2 linked regions of the Notamacropus eugenii genome follow. The main gene of each other region encodes a partner of the protein of the gene in region 2 in a complex. Links are inferred from orthologs where the notes say so. Each region holds a gene or a part of one and is shown on either strand. Other genes may lie near its edges. The genes, in order: IL22 and IL22RA2.

The links.
Region 1: the proteins of IL22RA2 (region 2) and IL22 are in contact, whole or in part, in a crystal structure (PDB 3G9V), measured with the Homo sapiens proteins. The link is inferred for Notamacropus eugenii from reciprocal best matches to the Homo sapiens genes IL22RA2 and IL22. Residues at the interface, in NP_443194.1 of Homo sapiens: Lys65, Ile66, Tyr99, Gly100, Gln101, Arg102, Trp104, Gln128, Glu129, Pro130, Tyr132, Met148, Pro150, Arg151, Thr153, Trp155, Trp156, Glu157, Glu200, Pro246, Met247, Leu248, Asp249, Arg250; in NP_065386.1 of Homo sapiens: Phe47, Gln48, Pro50, Thr53, Asn54, Phe57, Met58, Lys61, Ser64, Leu65, Asp67, Asn69, Thr70, Asp71, Val72, Arg73, Leu74, Lys162, Gly165, Glu166, Asp168, Leu169, Met172, Arg175, Asn176.

The regions. Positions count from the first base shown.
Region 1 is NC_092874.1:245,595,615-245,603,382, forward strand, and holds the start of IL22 (interleukin-22), read right to left. Parts: upstream 3,122-7,768; 5' UTR 2,852-3,121; intron 1-2,851. Other genes in the region: nuclear protein MDM1, read right to left, coding at 5,765-5,877, 7,162-7,227. UniProt on the Homo sapiens protein: Cytokine that plays a critical role in modulating tissue responses during inflammation. Plays an essential role in the regeneration of epithelial cells to maintain barrier function after injury and for the prevention of further tissue damage.
Region 2 is NC_092873.1:223,567,991-223,576,114, reverse strand, and holds the start of IL22RA2 (interleukin-22 receptor subunit alpha-2), read left to right. Parts: upstream 1-4,976; 5' UTR 4,977-5,057; coding exon 5,058-5,118; intron 5,119-6,774; exon of another isoform or gene 6,775-6,853; intron 6,854-8,124. UniProt on the Homo sapiens protein: Isoform 2 is a receptor for IL22. Binds to IL22, prevents interaction with the functional IL-22R complex and blocks the activity of IL22 (in vitro). May play an important role as an IL22 antagonist in the regulation of inflammatory responses.

The sequences.
Region 1 (7,768 bases), on a different chromosome or scaffold from region 2:
ATCTTGAGAAGACTGGAGGACAGGGTAGTGCTGGTGGCTCCACCACTCTTCCAACCTCAGGAACAATCCTTCCTCCAGTGTCCCGCCTGGTTGCATACTGGGCATGGTCCCAGAGGAGTCGGTCCTGGGAGCTTCCTCTGGAGGGGTGCCTTAGAGGGGCATTCTTTGGACCAGTGGCCCTCCTTGTGGCATTGAAAGCAGGTCTCACCACTACCCAAGTTACCAGGAATACCTTCAGGTCTTTTCCTGCCTATGGCAGCAGCCAAGAACTGAGCATGTGCTCTGTCTTCGTGCTCTTTTTCCTCCGCTTTGGCTAAGTCTCTGTTGTTGAAGACTCCAAAGGCTATCTCCAGTAATTGGGCTTGAGGTATTTAGGGTACCATTGTCAATTTCTGCAGTTTCCTCCTAATATCTGGGGCAGATTGATTAATGAAATACATGCTAAGGATTGCTGCCCCTTCCATAGAGTCAGGACCTAAATTTGTTATATTTGTTAATAGCCTCTCTATCAACCTGTCTTGGAAAAGGGCAGGGTTTTCCTTTTCTCTCTGAATAATTTCTTTAATCTTTTGAAAATGTATCAGATTGGAGGGCAGAGCCAAGATGGCCAAATAACAGTGAGAACTTTCTAGAGCATTCCCACCAAGCCCAGTCAAATATCTGTAAAAAAAATAGCTCTAAACAAATTCTGGAGCTGCAGAACTCACAGAAGGTCAGAGTGAAGCAAATCTCCAGTCAAAGATAGCATGGAAGGTTGCTGGGAAGTGTATATCACACCACGCAGGAGGCAGAGCGCAGTCCAATGTGGGCCATGTATGCACAGAGGGGACTTGAGTAGGCCTTGGGGAGACTAAATCTCTCATACGTGTGGTGATTTCCAGACTCCATGACCCCAAAATGCTGAGGATAAATTGGAAGGTCAGTGGAAAAAGCCTGTGAGACCAATGAAGAAGAGTAGAGTGGTCTGGCCCCAGTTCCAGGGCGGCGGGGGGGAGGGAACACAGCAGCAGCAGAGGTAGCTGCAGCCACTGTTTCTGGAGCTCTAGGCCCACTTACTGGGGGGGTAGGGAGGGAGGAGATCAGGAGGCTGACTATTCCCTCCACCCCCACTACAAGCGGAGAACTACCTTGACAAAGAGCTCAAAAGTCAAGTAAATGGCTGGGGAAATGAGCAAAAACCAGAAAAAGAATCAAACTATAGAATTTTACTTTAATGACAAGGAGGACCAAAGCATGTCAACAGAAGAAAACAAAGTCAAAGCTCCTCCATTCAAAACCACCAAGAAAAATATGAATTGATCTCAGACCATGGAAGGGCTCAGAAAGTGAAGTAAGAGAAGTAAAGCAAAAATTGGGAAGATAAATGAAAGTGATACAAGAAAATCATGAAAAATGAGTCAATTGCTTGCTAAAGAAGACCCCAAAAAAAATGCTGAAGAAAATAACACTTTTAAAAATAGACTAAGTCAAATGACAAAAGAAATCCAAAAAGGCAATGAGGAGAAGAATGCCCTAAAAAGCAGAAATGGCCACATGGAAAAGGAGATCCAAAAGCTCCCTGAAGAAAATAATTCCTTAAAGAATAGAAAGGAGCAGATGGAAGCTAATGACTTTATGAAAAGTCATCATAAAGATGACTTTATGAAAAATCAAAAAATTATAAAGTAAAACAAAGGAATGAAAAAATAGAAGACAATGTGAACTATCTCACTGGAAAAACAACTGACCTGGAAAATAGATCCAGAAGAGACAATTTAAAAATTATGGGATCACTGAAAGTCATGATCAAAAAAAGAGCCTAGACATCATCTTTCATGAAATTATCAAAGAAAACTGCCCTGAGATTCTAGAACTAGAGGGCAAAATAAATATTGAAAGACTCCACTGGTCACTTCCTGAAAGAAATCCCAAAAGAAAAACTCCTAGGAATATTCTAGCCAAATTCCAGAATTCCCAGGTCAAGGAGAAAATATTGCAAGCAGTCAAAAAGAAACAATTCAAGTATTGTGGAAATATAATCAGGATAACACAAGATCTAGCAGCTTCTACATTAAGGGATCAAAGGGCTTAGAATATGATATTCCAGAGGTCAAAGGAGCTAGGATTATAACCAAGAATCACCTACCCAGCAAAACTGAGTATAATACTTCAGGGAAAAAAAATGGTCATTCAATGAAATAGAAGACTTGCAAGCATTCTTGTTGAAAAGACCAGAGCTGAATAGAAAATTTGACTTTCAAACACAAGAATCAAGAGAAGCATGAAAAGGTAAACAGGAAAGAGAACTCATAAGGGATTTACTAAAGTTGAACTGTTTACATTCCTACATTGTAAGGTCACAAAAATGGGTCATACTTCGTGGTTCTCCAGGTGATACTGAGGCCAAACAGTGTTGCAAACGAACACCAACTTTTTCTTTTTAAGTTCTTTAGGGAAGCTAATTTTTTCCCAATTTTGTAAAAGACAACCCAAAGGCAAATTTTGAGGGTTTGAAGAGGATTAATCCATTACAGATGTGAGGCTGGTAGTCCCTCCCTCTGTAAAGAAGGATGTGGGAGTAAGCCTTGAAAAAAAAAGAAAGAAAAAGTAACATTTTCCTAATTCCCTAGCACTGAGGGAATTGAGAGTTGGGCATACACTTCCCAATAGGGTGTCTGTCCTTGTCTGTGCTTTGGAGGGTGTGCCCAGATTCACAACCTCAAACATAGCCACTGGACTGACAACCTGAGAGCATCAAGTTGAGTACAAGACAGCCTTTTATCTGCCTGATCTACTGGGACCTGAGGGGTCAGGTCCAAAAACCCCTTCCAAGGTGCCTGAAGGAGATAGGGAGAGGGGGAAGCTTACATACCTTCCAGTCTTGGCAGAAGAACTGGAAATTAGCAGTTCTTCCTGATCAGGGAACCAAAATGTTGAGGTTTGGGGTCCTGGGGATCCCAAAATACCGACATGCTGGGTTCTGCTCAAATGAATTCTACACAAATCTCCTTAAAGCCAAACAAAAACTAACTTTATAAAAGATTCGTCACATTGAATTGACTCTTAAGGAGCCTAAGCATTTGTAATGCTTGTATTAACAGAATCTCAGCTAGATAGAGTCTGAGCTGGATTGAATGTGAGCGCCTTCATGGAGGTGAGATGGAACTTAAATACAGGAAAAGAGTGAGGGAAGAATCCAGGCGTGGCCAAGCAGTCTCGGTCCCAGGGATGGTCTTGATAAGGGAGGTCAGCCTGCAATGTAGATCAAACCCAGGGAGGATGGGGGTGGTTGGTAGTCCAGACAATCCACAATCCTGGCTAGGTGACTGGGACCTCAAAAGAATGCTAAGTAATGGCCAATAGGGAATATGAAAAGAATGCTAATAGGATCCAAGGTAGGAATATGAAAAGAATGCTGAATCTAGTAAGGGGAATCCAAGGAACCCCCAAAGGCCAAGCTTTCCAGGGCCCCTCAGACAGATGGGACAAAGGCCCTCCAGTTCCAAGAGAAAAAGGTCTCAACTTGGACTTGTACCCCATTGAGTGGGATAGACTTGGTGAAGACTCCTCAGATTGTGGTTTTCTCCCAAGGGTGAGGTGGGGCCGGGAGGCTCGGGGCTGCAGTGTTTTTGGAATAGAATAGTTCCATATAAGGTATAAAACTGTGTGGTGTACTGGGGTCTCAATGATTGGACAAAACTTGCGTAATTCCTCGGTGTCTTCATTTCAAAGGGATTGGTTAGATTTCGTGTCTAGAATGTAAGACCATATCCTCAGCTAATGAGGATAATGGTCAGTGGGGGGAGGAGGGACTTGCGTTAGGGTTTATAAATCACTGTCCTGATTTTTGTCTTCGGCTTTCCTACTCCTACAGGTGAGCCCCGCTTCTCGAGAATCGAATAAATCACTTTTCTGTCATCACTTTGAGAGGCCTCTAAGTAACTGATTTATGTAGGGACCTGAGCCATCCCACACACCATCAATTTTACAGATGAGGAAATCGAGGCAAACAGGGTTAAGTGACTTGTCTAGCATCACACACAGACAGCGTCGGTGGCTTAATTTGAACCCACGTCTTCCTAACTTCAGATCCTGCACTCTATCCACTGTACCACCTAACTGCCTGGCATGTAATAGGTGTTTGATTAATATTTATTGAACTGAATTGCCTGAACTGTTGCAAAAATCTGCTGGTTGGTTCCCCTGTCTCAGCTATCCAAAATCCTGTCTTTTCTCCACTCAGTTTCCAAAGTGATCTTCCCAAAACACTTACCATCACTCCATTTCAGGAAACTCCAATGGCTTCCTATCACCCTGAAATCAAATAAAAAATTCTGCTTGGCTTTTAAAGTCCTTCACAGCCTGGCTCCTTCCTCCCTTTCCAGGCTTGGTGCACTTGATTCCTCTCCACTTCCTCTACCGTCCACTGAGCCCCAACATTTCCAAGGACGGTGCCCAACCCCCACATCCCTTTCTCCACAGTCTATTTCATGGATTCCTTGGCTTCCTTCAACTCAGTTCAAACCCCTTTTCGAAGAAGCTTTTCCTGGTCCTCCCTCACTGCTAGTGTCTTTGCTCAGAGATCACTTTCCACTTAGACTGTATTCATCTTGTTTGCACCTAACTGTTTTCATGTGGTCTCTCCCATTAGAATACAGTGACTCCTGAGGGCAGAGACTCTTTTTTACTTTTTTTGTATCTTCAATACTTAGTAGAGTGTCTAGCTAGCATACACTTAGTGCTAAATAAACGCTTTTTCACTTATGTGTGCCCTATAAGTAAAGAGAAGAGATTAAAGATACTGATTCTCTAATGTCTTCCTTAACATTCTTATCCTCCCCCACTACAAAAAGGTGAAAGATCTGGATTCATCTTCTATTGTATTGCAACAAAAGCTTTAAAGGAAGTACAGAAAACTTTGGCCACCTTGCTCTTGGAGGAAAAACTTTGTAAAAAGATTACTACAGTTCCATGAAATAACTTTCTGGAGAAACCAAACACTCTTGATGTTTTTTTTTATTTGAAAATGTCTAAAAAGTTTCAACACTTCATTATACAAATAACTTTTCCACTTTCAAACATTAAAATGTAAGACAAAGTTCTTATACAAATGAAAAACACAGACCAAAAATATACATTATTTTTAAGCAAACTTTCTCGTATAAGATAAAAAATATATATACAGTTAATATTTTCAACCTAAATACAATTATTTTAATCATACTAAAAGTAACTTTCTGAAGGAAATTTTTTTAAAATTAAAAAATACTAAAAAAAAATTTTTTAAATTAAAAAATAGTAGAAGTGAACATTGTGGGTACACATTCAATTTATGCTATCTTTAATTTATAAACATAGGTAACAGATCCTACAAAACCACACATTTCAAACTTAGTTCTTCATTTTTACAGTTTAACTTTTCAGAATACTCTTGGTAACATGGATGTAACTCTCAATCCTACCAACAACGCTTGATAAGAAATAGTTAAATTCAGAATTGTGAAGGACTGAGTAAATCCATTAGTGCCTTTTTAGATAAGTCTAAAATGGCAATGAATTTAAAGTTAAAACTCAATTTGTCTACATAAAGAAAACAAATTAAATGACTGAACTGAAATGGCTATTAGAATACAATTATTCATATCCCTAGACAAAACCAACCTTCCCTTCTCCCCAAAATACAAGAATCCCAAATACTTTAAAAACCTCAACTCCATATGGAATGAAAATAAAAATAATCACAGAAATAGTAAACAAAAATGGAAAGAGCTAGCCATAAAGAGCACTATTTTTTGCCCCAAAAACTCTCTTTCCTTTTCTGAGCACGTGCCAAAGTTTGAGAAGCCATCAGACTAGAGGCTGCAGACCGAGCAGAGATCTGGGACAATCTGTCATCATCTACAATGGAAAAATCCACAATTACAAGTCAGGGTAACCAAAACCAATCATTCCTTGTTGTGTTCATAACAATTCAGTAGAAAATTCAGCCACAAATACCAAAAAGTCCTATAACATAACAGCATCAGAACAGGAAAGCTAGAAGCCAGAAGCTCCAAGGTGACTTAATAGATCAAACCCTTCATTTTACAGATGAGAGAACTGAATCCCAAAAATGTGAAGTGACACAGGACAAAGTCACCAAACTGACAAACAGGAAAAATGGGCCCAGATCCCAGCCTCCTTGTTTATAACCCATCAACACCACTCATGATTCTGGGTTTCTGTTCTTAAAAGCAGAATATAGATGAATATGCTCCATACTATGAGTATTATGGCATATCTTTAAAACTTTAAGACAATTTAGAGAAAAAGAAACTGCTTCTAATTTCAGGAGCTTGTAATTCAATTAAGGAGGGCAGCTAGGTGGCAAGGTATAGACTACTGTGCCTGGGGTCAGGAAGACTCATCTTCAGGAGTTCAAGTTTGGTCTCAGACACTTATTAGGTGTGTGACCCTCGGCAAATCACTCAACCCTGTTTGCCACAGTTTTCTCATCTGTAAAGTGAGCTGGAGAAGGAAATGGCAAACCACTCCAATATCTTTCCTAAGAAAATCCCAAATAGAGTCTCAAAGAGTTGGACACAAATGAAAAATAAATTCAATTAAGTACTCAATTTTCTTCCTCAGTTTTCTGTTCAGGAAAATTTGGCTGAAAGCTTAATGGGGAAAAAAAAAAAGTCTATCTTTAAAAAAATGTGCATTAAGAAATCTCTCAAGTATTATCATTTTTAAGTGTATAATGATTTAATAACTATTTGCTAAATCTTCAAAAAAGACACCTCAGAGGGCTACTAATGCAGGGGGAAAATATCAAACCCTGAAATATGGGAATATAAATACATGTATTTTAGTAATTAAATTAATAATTGAGAAATTCAAGCATATTTTGTTAATAATCACTTATACTTTCTACAAACATTCTCATCAAGCTTTCAGAGCTCTTCCTACTGAGACTAATAACAATCAGTGAGGGTGAAAATTATGCACTGAAAAAAATGTATTTGCTCTTCAATTAGACAGAAAAGGGTTTCTGAGGAAAAAATATACAAGTAAACACAGGCAATTAAAATATATAAAATATTACTCTAGACCCAAATCCTAATCTGTGGGCTGGATCCATGAAATGGTTACTTTTAGAAACCTTACATATTATCAAATCTTACTCAGTTTTTAGTAAATTACCTTCATCATTAATGACTTCTTGGTGAGGTAAATGGTAAAGGCCTGTTCTTGGGCTCACAAGGTTTCCTATGGGGGGAAAAAAGCAAAACAGATTTTGTTCTGGCTCTAAACAGCTGATTCCTTTATACAAAACCACTTATAGAAGGCAAACTACAAAATATCAATTTTATCATTTTTATAAATATAAAAGCCTGATACAGCTGTCTAGTAAAGGTGTCCACTAACACGTGGACAGGCTGTCAGACTTACAGTGCTAACTAAGATGATAATTGCTAAGCTGGACATGCACGCAGTTAGACAATGCCCATTATTCATTTGATTTTTAGGGGATTGTGGTGAGGGGAAGGGTCCTTCAGGGGCTGCTTTTAGCAATCTGAACTGTCTCTACTGTACTTTAAATGTCACTTGTTGGATGTAGAAACTAACAGCATATGAAATACTGCTGAATCACATCATTTTCACAATATGTGTGTGGCTATGAAGTAAGAGGTTTGTCCTACGCGTTACTACCAGTTATCAATCTCATTACTTCAGTTGTGAGACACGTCCAATGCTGTTGACAACATCTTTATAAACAATTTAATTAGCATAACATACAACACATGTA
Region 2 (8,124 bases):
TTGGGAGCCAGGCTGGGCTGATTGAGCTCTGCCTTCTGTGACAAGAAGTTTAGAAAGTGAGAAGAGTCAATGGATGAGGGGATGGGCCTAGACAAATGAGAATATGTATCAGCAGGGGTTGGGTTCAATTGCTAGGAAGAGTTCTTAGGCCATATTCTGCAGTACACAGTTGTATTGTGCAGCAACCTTATTTGCTGCAGCTTAATTTAGTTACAGTTTGGTTTAGAAATGACACAGAATCTCAAGTTTATATATATATATATATATATATATATATATATATATATATATATATATATATATATATACACACACACATACATACATGTGTGTATGTGTATGTATATATGTATGTATATGTGTGATATACATACATTTATATTATGTATATATGTATGTATATGTGTGATATACATACATTTATACATACATATAGTACTAGTATTTATTAATAATAATAATAAAGGTCTCAATCAGTAAGTCCCAATACTTATGTCTCAATCAGTAAATCTCAAGTTATGCCACAATCAGTAAGTCTCAGTAGGTGTGTCACAACCTTATCACAATCGATAAGCACTGATGGGGCAATTACCTACAAATGGATCACATATATGTGGCTGGGGAGTCCCAGGTCAGCCTCCAGAGTCTCGATGGGATAATCCTAAACTATGCATCAGTACCAAGGGGGGAAAGCGGGGAGGGGCTACTCACCCTTAGTAGTTCTTTCTAATCAAGAAAGGCATTTTGCCAATTATATGTGTGACTGGTGGGAAAGGAGCTGTTCTCAAAACATCCTTGAGAGCATTTCTGTTTAGGAATGTCTCATTCTGGGAGGCATGGCCAATCCTCTCTGGTAGCAAACATCACAAACCAACTTTTGGCTAGGAATAAGATTAGAGCCAGATTGCACAAGATCAGAATATCCTAATGAATTTATGCATCACAACAGTATACACAGTAAGATCCTGAAGTCCCATTAGATAGTATTGAAATGACATCTAAATGTCTGTGAGGGTCAGTTAATTACTTTTATTAGCAATCTGTGTTTATTCAATTCAATCAATTCTATTAAGAACCCAATATTAAAATTATCTTTCCTTCCCTACTCAATAAACCCCAGTATCTCCCTTTTGCTTTTGGGATCCAATATAAACTCTTATATTTTGCTTTTAAAACCCTTCAAAATCCAACTTGCTTTGTTCAGCATTCCTGAAGTCCAACCATTCTGAAGTCTACTATCTGTCCACCCAACCTCCCAGTATAGATGATGTTGGTATACCTAGATTCAGAAGAAAGCCACATCCTGGAAGGTATTCCTTAAAGAGGAAAAACGCCCCAAGCCTATACTCATTGGCTTGGCCCTTTCCTGCCAAAAGACCTTCCAAAATAATGAATAGTAAGTAAATCTATTTATCCTAGTATATAGAAAACAGAAATCAGATTATAATATACCAGAAAATACAGAGTAAAGGAGTTCTTTAGATTAGAGCAAGATAGGATCGCAGCTCAACCAAGAGAGAAGCCTGTATCTTGTCCAACAAGAAATTCCCTAAAGTTTCTAGGGAGACAAATTGGAAATCAGGGACATGTTGAGGATCTGGCTTTGCTTACACATTCACAGATTCTAAAGTCTCATAGTAGCAAGCACCCTAGCAACCCAGAATGACCTACTAGCACAGGTTCTTTGATCTGCTTTTAAAAGAAAGTGCTCAAAAAGAGGTTAACAATTCTGTTTTTAAATACATTCACTAGTTCAGGGGAAAGGTCAGCACACTGAACTTGATGAAAATACAAACAGAAAATATAAGCCGAGAAATTAGCATGAAGACCAACAAACAGGGCTCCAATTATCAGAGTAAAGCAATATTGCTATGCACTTTACATACATCACTATCAAGGGAGCACAAACTTCCGGTGGTTAGGGGGTTCTGAACCTACACTCAGAGTCTCAATCAGAAAACCAAAAGATCCTTCTCCTAAGTGAACCCCCAAAGTAAAATAGCAACTCAGAGTATATATACCAAAAGGCATCACAACCCTCGTGACTCAGTGCCTAATCAACTTAGTACCAAAAGGTGTGGAAACCTTATCACAAGCAAGTTCCTCCTGAGACAAGTCGCTCCCACAATGGGCTCCACATGAAGCGAGGGGAAGATCTTAATATCCCTTTAACATTACAAGTCTTTCTTTCCACATGTCTGGAGTAGTTTTTAAATGTTTGGCACAACATGTCCTCTCTCAAAGAAGGAACGTCTCTCCTCTCCAAAGCTCTTATATCAACTCTACTTCTCATGTAAGCTTATAACATTCAGAATTCTTTCCACCAAATGGAGGTTTCCTTCTGCATATGCAAATTTCCCCAGGATTACCTGGGAACCTGGACTAATAGATATTTCGTATATACTTGTACACATAAATTTGCTCTATTCCCACCCCAAATAAAGTAAGCTCCTTAAGGTCAGGTACTTTCATTTTTGTCTAAGTAGCTCCAATACCTATTGATTAATTCTATTTGTATCCACATTCATTGTTGACAAAAAGAAAAAGAAGGGTAGTTTTTTAAATGTCTTCTCATCCTCCAATCTGAGGTAGTTCAATAAAAAAAAAAGTGGCAATCTGCCTATAAATTCAGTTCCCATCATCATAACCTTTTTTCTGTGAATACTAATATTGATAAAAAAAAAAAGTTTCACAACTCTTAGATTAACCACATGAAGGTTTTTTTTTAACTCTAATTTAACTTTTTTTTTTGGTCACTGTTTTTCCCAATGGTTATAGTCTGCTGTATGCCGTCTACAATCATGAGATTGTATGACTTAGGAAGGGGAATTTTCCACCATTGAAACAGGGATTTTCCTTTTTTTTTTTTTTTTTTTTGTCAATTATCCTCTCAGACACTCAATCATTTTTTGGTCTCCTAAACTTTAAGTCTGAGAAGGAACATGGAATAGTGGATAGAGAGCCCTCCTCACTTGCTTTCAATTTCTGTGTCTGATACATATTGATTGGGTGATGTGGGCAAATGACTTAATTTTTCTGAATCCTAGGCAAATCTCTAAGATTATAAATCACAGATGCAGATCTTCATTGGTAGGAGTTTCCTCACTAGAAGTTTCCTTCACCAATGAAATCACAAGTCTAAACAAAAAGTCAATAAATCTTTAAGACTACATACACATCCCTATAGTTCTTCCTTCATAATGTCTTATGTTGTCTGGCTACCTAGAGTTTCATTTATCCTCCACATTACAGCCAAATTTACTGTTCTGCAACATTCCCCTGCTCAGAAACTATCCTGTGCTCTAGGGGCCAAATGGGATGGCCTTTTGGACTAAAATCTGGCCAGCCTTTTTGGTGGTGGTTTGGGGCAGGGGTGGGGGGTGAGGTGGGGTGTCTATGTAGATGGGTGGGACAGCTAGCTACAGTGAATAGAGAGTCATCCCTGACGTCATGAAAACTCATCTTCCTGAATTCAAATTTGGCCTCAGACACTTACTTAGGTAGCTGTGGGCAGTTCACTTAACTCTGTTTGTTTGCCTCAGTTCCTCATCTGTATAATAAGAAGGAGAAGGAAATGGCAAACTACTTCAGTATTTTTGCCACGAATATTCCAAATGGGGTCATGAAGAGTCAAACCTAACTAAACACACACACGCACATGCACACACACACACACGCACACAACATACACACAGATAGTTATGGTAAGGATGACGAGTGGGAGTTTGTTTATAGTATGGATAAGATGAAGACGTAAAATTAGTGAATATAGAGTCTTTGATCAAAGCCACCAGAGATCAATAAGTGAGCAAAAGAGTCACATCCATTTGCTTGAAGTCCATTAGTAAAATAGCGATTACTTTCTAGAAAAGTTTAGGCTAAATTCAAGTGTCGGTCCCGGTGGGTAGACTCAGGTCAACAAGTAGGGTTCTATTTCCAGTTCTTTTCATAAATCGTTAGATTTCAACCTGAAAGGAACTTTAGTGATCATCTAAAATTGTAAGATAAAGTCCTGGAAAGAATCTTAATAAACATCTAGCCTTTCTGCTTCATTTTATAGACCAGGCAAATGGAACCCTGGGAGGATAGATGACTATCTTAAGAAAAAAAAAACAGTTATGGTTTGGGTATAGATCTTCTGACTCCAAAGGGCAGATGGGTGACAGTAGATAGAGCCCTGGGCTTAGAGTCAGCATCTTTAGCATAACAGCATAGCCTAACCCTCCAGCCTTTTTCAGTGACTTAAATCAGAATCACCTGGAATCACTCAGTATTACCTTTCACTTAGGATGTAACAATTCACCAAATTTCCCCTATGAAAACAACAATATTTATTTCAATCTCCTTAATTTCCAGTTATATGATTTTTACAAAACTTTTGTTTGACCCTCTTACAATCTTCTAATGGTTACACAGAAATGAGCTTGAGACCATAATACCCTTAAACTCTATTAATCATTTCTCAAAATGATCCTATACAACATTCTTTGTCTTTGAAAACTGTATTTCTTCATACATACATTTCATCAGTTTTTAATTAATAAGAGTTCTGTGTCCCTTTAAGCCATCAGATATTCACATACAAATGAAGCATCACCTTTGTCTTTTACAAGGTGATAGAGTTCTATTCTTAACTTCTCAAATTCAATCTGAAAGCTATTTTTCTTTACACATATATTTTAGTCATTTTTATTAAATGATGATTTTTTTTCCTGTTCCTTTTAGCCTTCAAACTATTTATTTATAAAAACAGTAATACCCTATATCCTTTACCAGTTCATTTAACTTTTTTCTTCACACAAAAGTATCTTTTTCTGCCCCGTGCGGTAGTACTTTGTGGCAGTAATTTCAAAGGGACAGTACTTTAATGAAGCAGTTTTTAAAGACACTGTCACTTTAAAAAGGGACAGTACTTTAAAATACCTTGCAAAGGAAAATCTAAAAACATAGTTTTCACTTCCTTTTTTTCAACCTATTTATAGATATAAGGAACAGGGTAGATTGGAGGTGTCTTTTTATGCAGCAGAATATTTGTTTCTCATAGTCATAGTCTAACCATGATGCTTAAACACTGCTTTATAAGCTTCCTTATTGAATTCCTCTGGATTCATGGAGGAGGTAAGTGTTCCAATTTTTTTTTTTAATTTGTTATTAGGAGTCTTTTTCTTTTCATAAACTGAACAACCAAGACACTCTGGAAACCCCACTGGCTCTTTTCTTTGTCTCTATAGGATCTATTCCTTATCTTAATGTGTTTCGGGGTAGACAGCAAATTGAGGGGCATCAAAATAGTAAATTACATCTAGATGTTTATTATATAAATTAATAGTAAATTACATCTAGATGTCATGTAATTTTGTATTTTTGAAATTAATTTTTTCTTCTCTCAAAGCATTGTCACTTATTACCTCAGTATCTCTGTAAGTTTAGTGTAGCCCTTTAATGGTAGTAACCCCATTTTACATATAGGGAAGCTGAAGTTGAGTCTTTGCTGGAGCTCTAGATCTATGGAGTGTCTTATTTCTGTGTGCACGTATGTGTGTAGTGAGAAGAGGATTAAGTCACGAAAGAAGTGGCACTTTTTACCTCTAGGTGACCCAGTTTGCCATGGGTCCATGGTAAATGACTTCTGTTATTTCCTGAGAATCTTTTGACTTATTACCTGTTATAAATAGCTCTCATCCTTTGTTGAAACAAGGTGAGAAATAATCCTTGTTTTTGGTCACAGATTTTTTCCCAAGGGTTGGATTATCTTTGAGTAGAAAGGAAGAAGCAATAAAAAATTTAAAAAAATCATTTTTATCAGACACCAGGGTCATGAAGAGTCAGACGACTGAAATGAATGAACAATAACAACGTTAGGCATTGTGGAAAAATGAAGGACAAAGGATAAAGTTGCCTAAAAACTTGTAATCCTCAAGGGTTTGCCTTCAACATTTATTCCATCTGATCCATGAAGAGTTAAAACTATGTATACATTTTGTTGACAGATATCAGGATTTAATTACTTTTTTTTAAATGCATTTATTAAGCACCTGTTATGTGCAAGGGACCATATTAAGTACTGAATATTCAGAGATAAATCATGACAGTCCTTTACTCCAAGAAGTTGACATTCTAATGGAGGAAGGAGAGAGGTAAGTGGAAGCACAGGAGAGTGGGATACTAAATATTCTTTTTTTGATTGGGGATATCATCAACTCAAGTTTCCAACATGAAAGACACTGCTTTGAAAGGATTTAGTGGAAAAACCAAGGGAAGTGAGCAAGTGTGGGGCTACTTTCTGCTTCTTGTCAATTACATTCATTCACCTTTAGAAACAGCTTGTTATATTTTCCCACCCTCCAACTCTCCCTGTTTCTTCACCTCCCTATTAACTATCTAGGTCACCACACTATTGTCCCAGTCACTCCGGTTCATAACCTAGGTGTCATCTTGGACTCCTCAATCCCCACTTTGCTGGGAATAGGAAAAGGAATTGGGCTTAGAATGGTAAGTGATTTGCAAAAGCTAGGAAGGATTTGAACAGTATTTGAACTCTTTTCTTTCCAATGCTACATCTAGCATCCTATCTAGTATGTCTTCAAGCCTGTTACAGCATGTGCTGCTTATATTGTAGCTTTCCATTTGCCAGAGCTAACTTGTAAGCAGGCACACTGATGCTGGGGGAGACGATGATGCTAGCATTTCTGTGTGTGTGTGTTTATATATGTACAGACACATATATATACATACATACATACATATATCTTTAAGGATTGCAAAATGCTTTACCTGTGTTAATTCGTTTGAGCATTGCAATCTTCCTCTGAGGTGGGGTTCTGTTGTTATCCCTGGATTACAGATGAGAAAACTGAAGCACAGAGAAGTTAAATGTCTAGTTAGGGTCACACATCTACAAAGTGTCTGGCACAGAATTTGAATTAAAGTCTTCTTGACTTCAAGTCCTATGCCCCCTAGATGCCAAACTTGGACAGAGGGAACTGACCAGGTCCCTATCAAGAAGCATTGCTAGGAAGATGGAAGAAGGGGGGTTGATAGAAGGGAGGACAGACTGGAAGAAGGGGTGGATGGGGTGCATACTGTCCTGGGGTGGGGGTGGGAGGGATGGGGAGAAAATTTGGAATTCAAATTCTTATGGAAGGGAATGTTGAAAACTGAAAAAAAAAGTTATATATTCAAAAAAAAGCAGGGTTAGTCCACAAGCTTCATTCCATCCTATCAATCCAAGAGTTATGACCAAAATAACAGATTGGTATTAACCTATTTAGTACTACTTAATGCTAGTCATTTCCCTATATTTATTATCTCACATATAAGGATGGTACGACAACCAATAGAGTGACAGGCCTAGAGTCAGGAAGATCTGAGTTCAAATGTGAACTCAGACACTCACTAGCTGTGTGACCCTGGACAAATCACTTAATCCAGTATGCCTCATTTTCCTCATCTGTCAAATGAGCTGGAGAAGGAAATGGCAAACCACTCCAGTATCCTTGCCAAAAAAACCCGAAATTGGGTCATAAAGAGTCAGACATGACTAGAAAATGACTGAACAACAACAATGTAGATCTTGTTTGTGCATGGTTGTTTGCAAGTTGTCTCCTCCATTAGACTGTGAACTCCTCAAGAGCTGGGACTGTCTTTTGCCTTCCTATGTGTCCTCAACACTTAGCACAGTTGTCCTGACCTATATCTGGCCACTGGACCCAGATGGCTCTGGAGGAGAAAGTGAGGCTGGTGACTTTGCACAGCCCTGCCCCACTTAAATCCAATTGTCATGCAAGTCATGGCATCACCTCCCTGATATTTGAGAAGGAAGGAAAGCAAGAACAAAAACGTAGCACAGTGCCTGGTACATAATAGATCCTTATAATAAAAGCTTGTTCATATAGCTAATCTGATTCTGCTAATCTTGCAGAAAATGTCAGAAACACTTGTGTGGCTAGAAGTTACCACAACCCACTCAGTTACCTCGGGCTTTGATGATCAGCTACAACGATAATTCTGATGAATTTTTATCACCACACCTCTCATTCTACCCCTGCTTCCTGCTAGGAAATGCTCATGTGTTACAGAATTTTCAGATCTATTTAAGCAGGTCAATGAGAAAGCACTAAATTT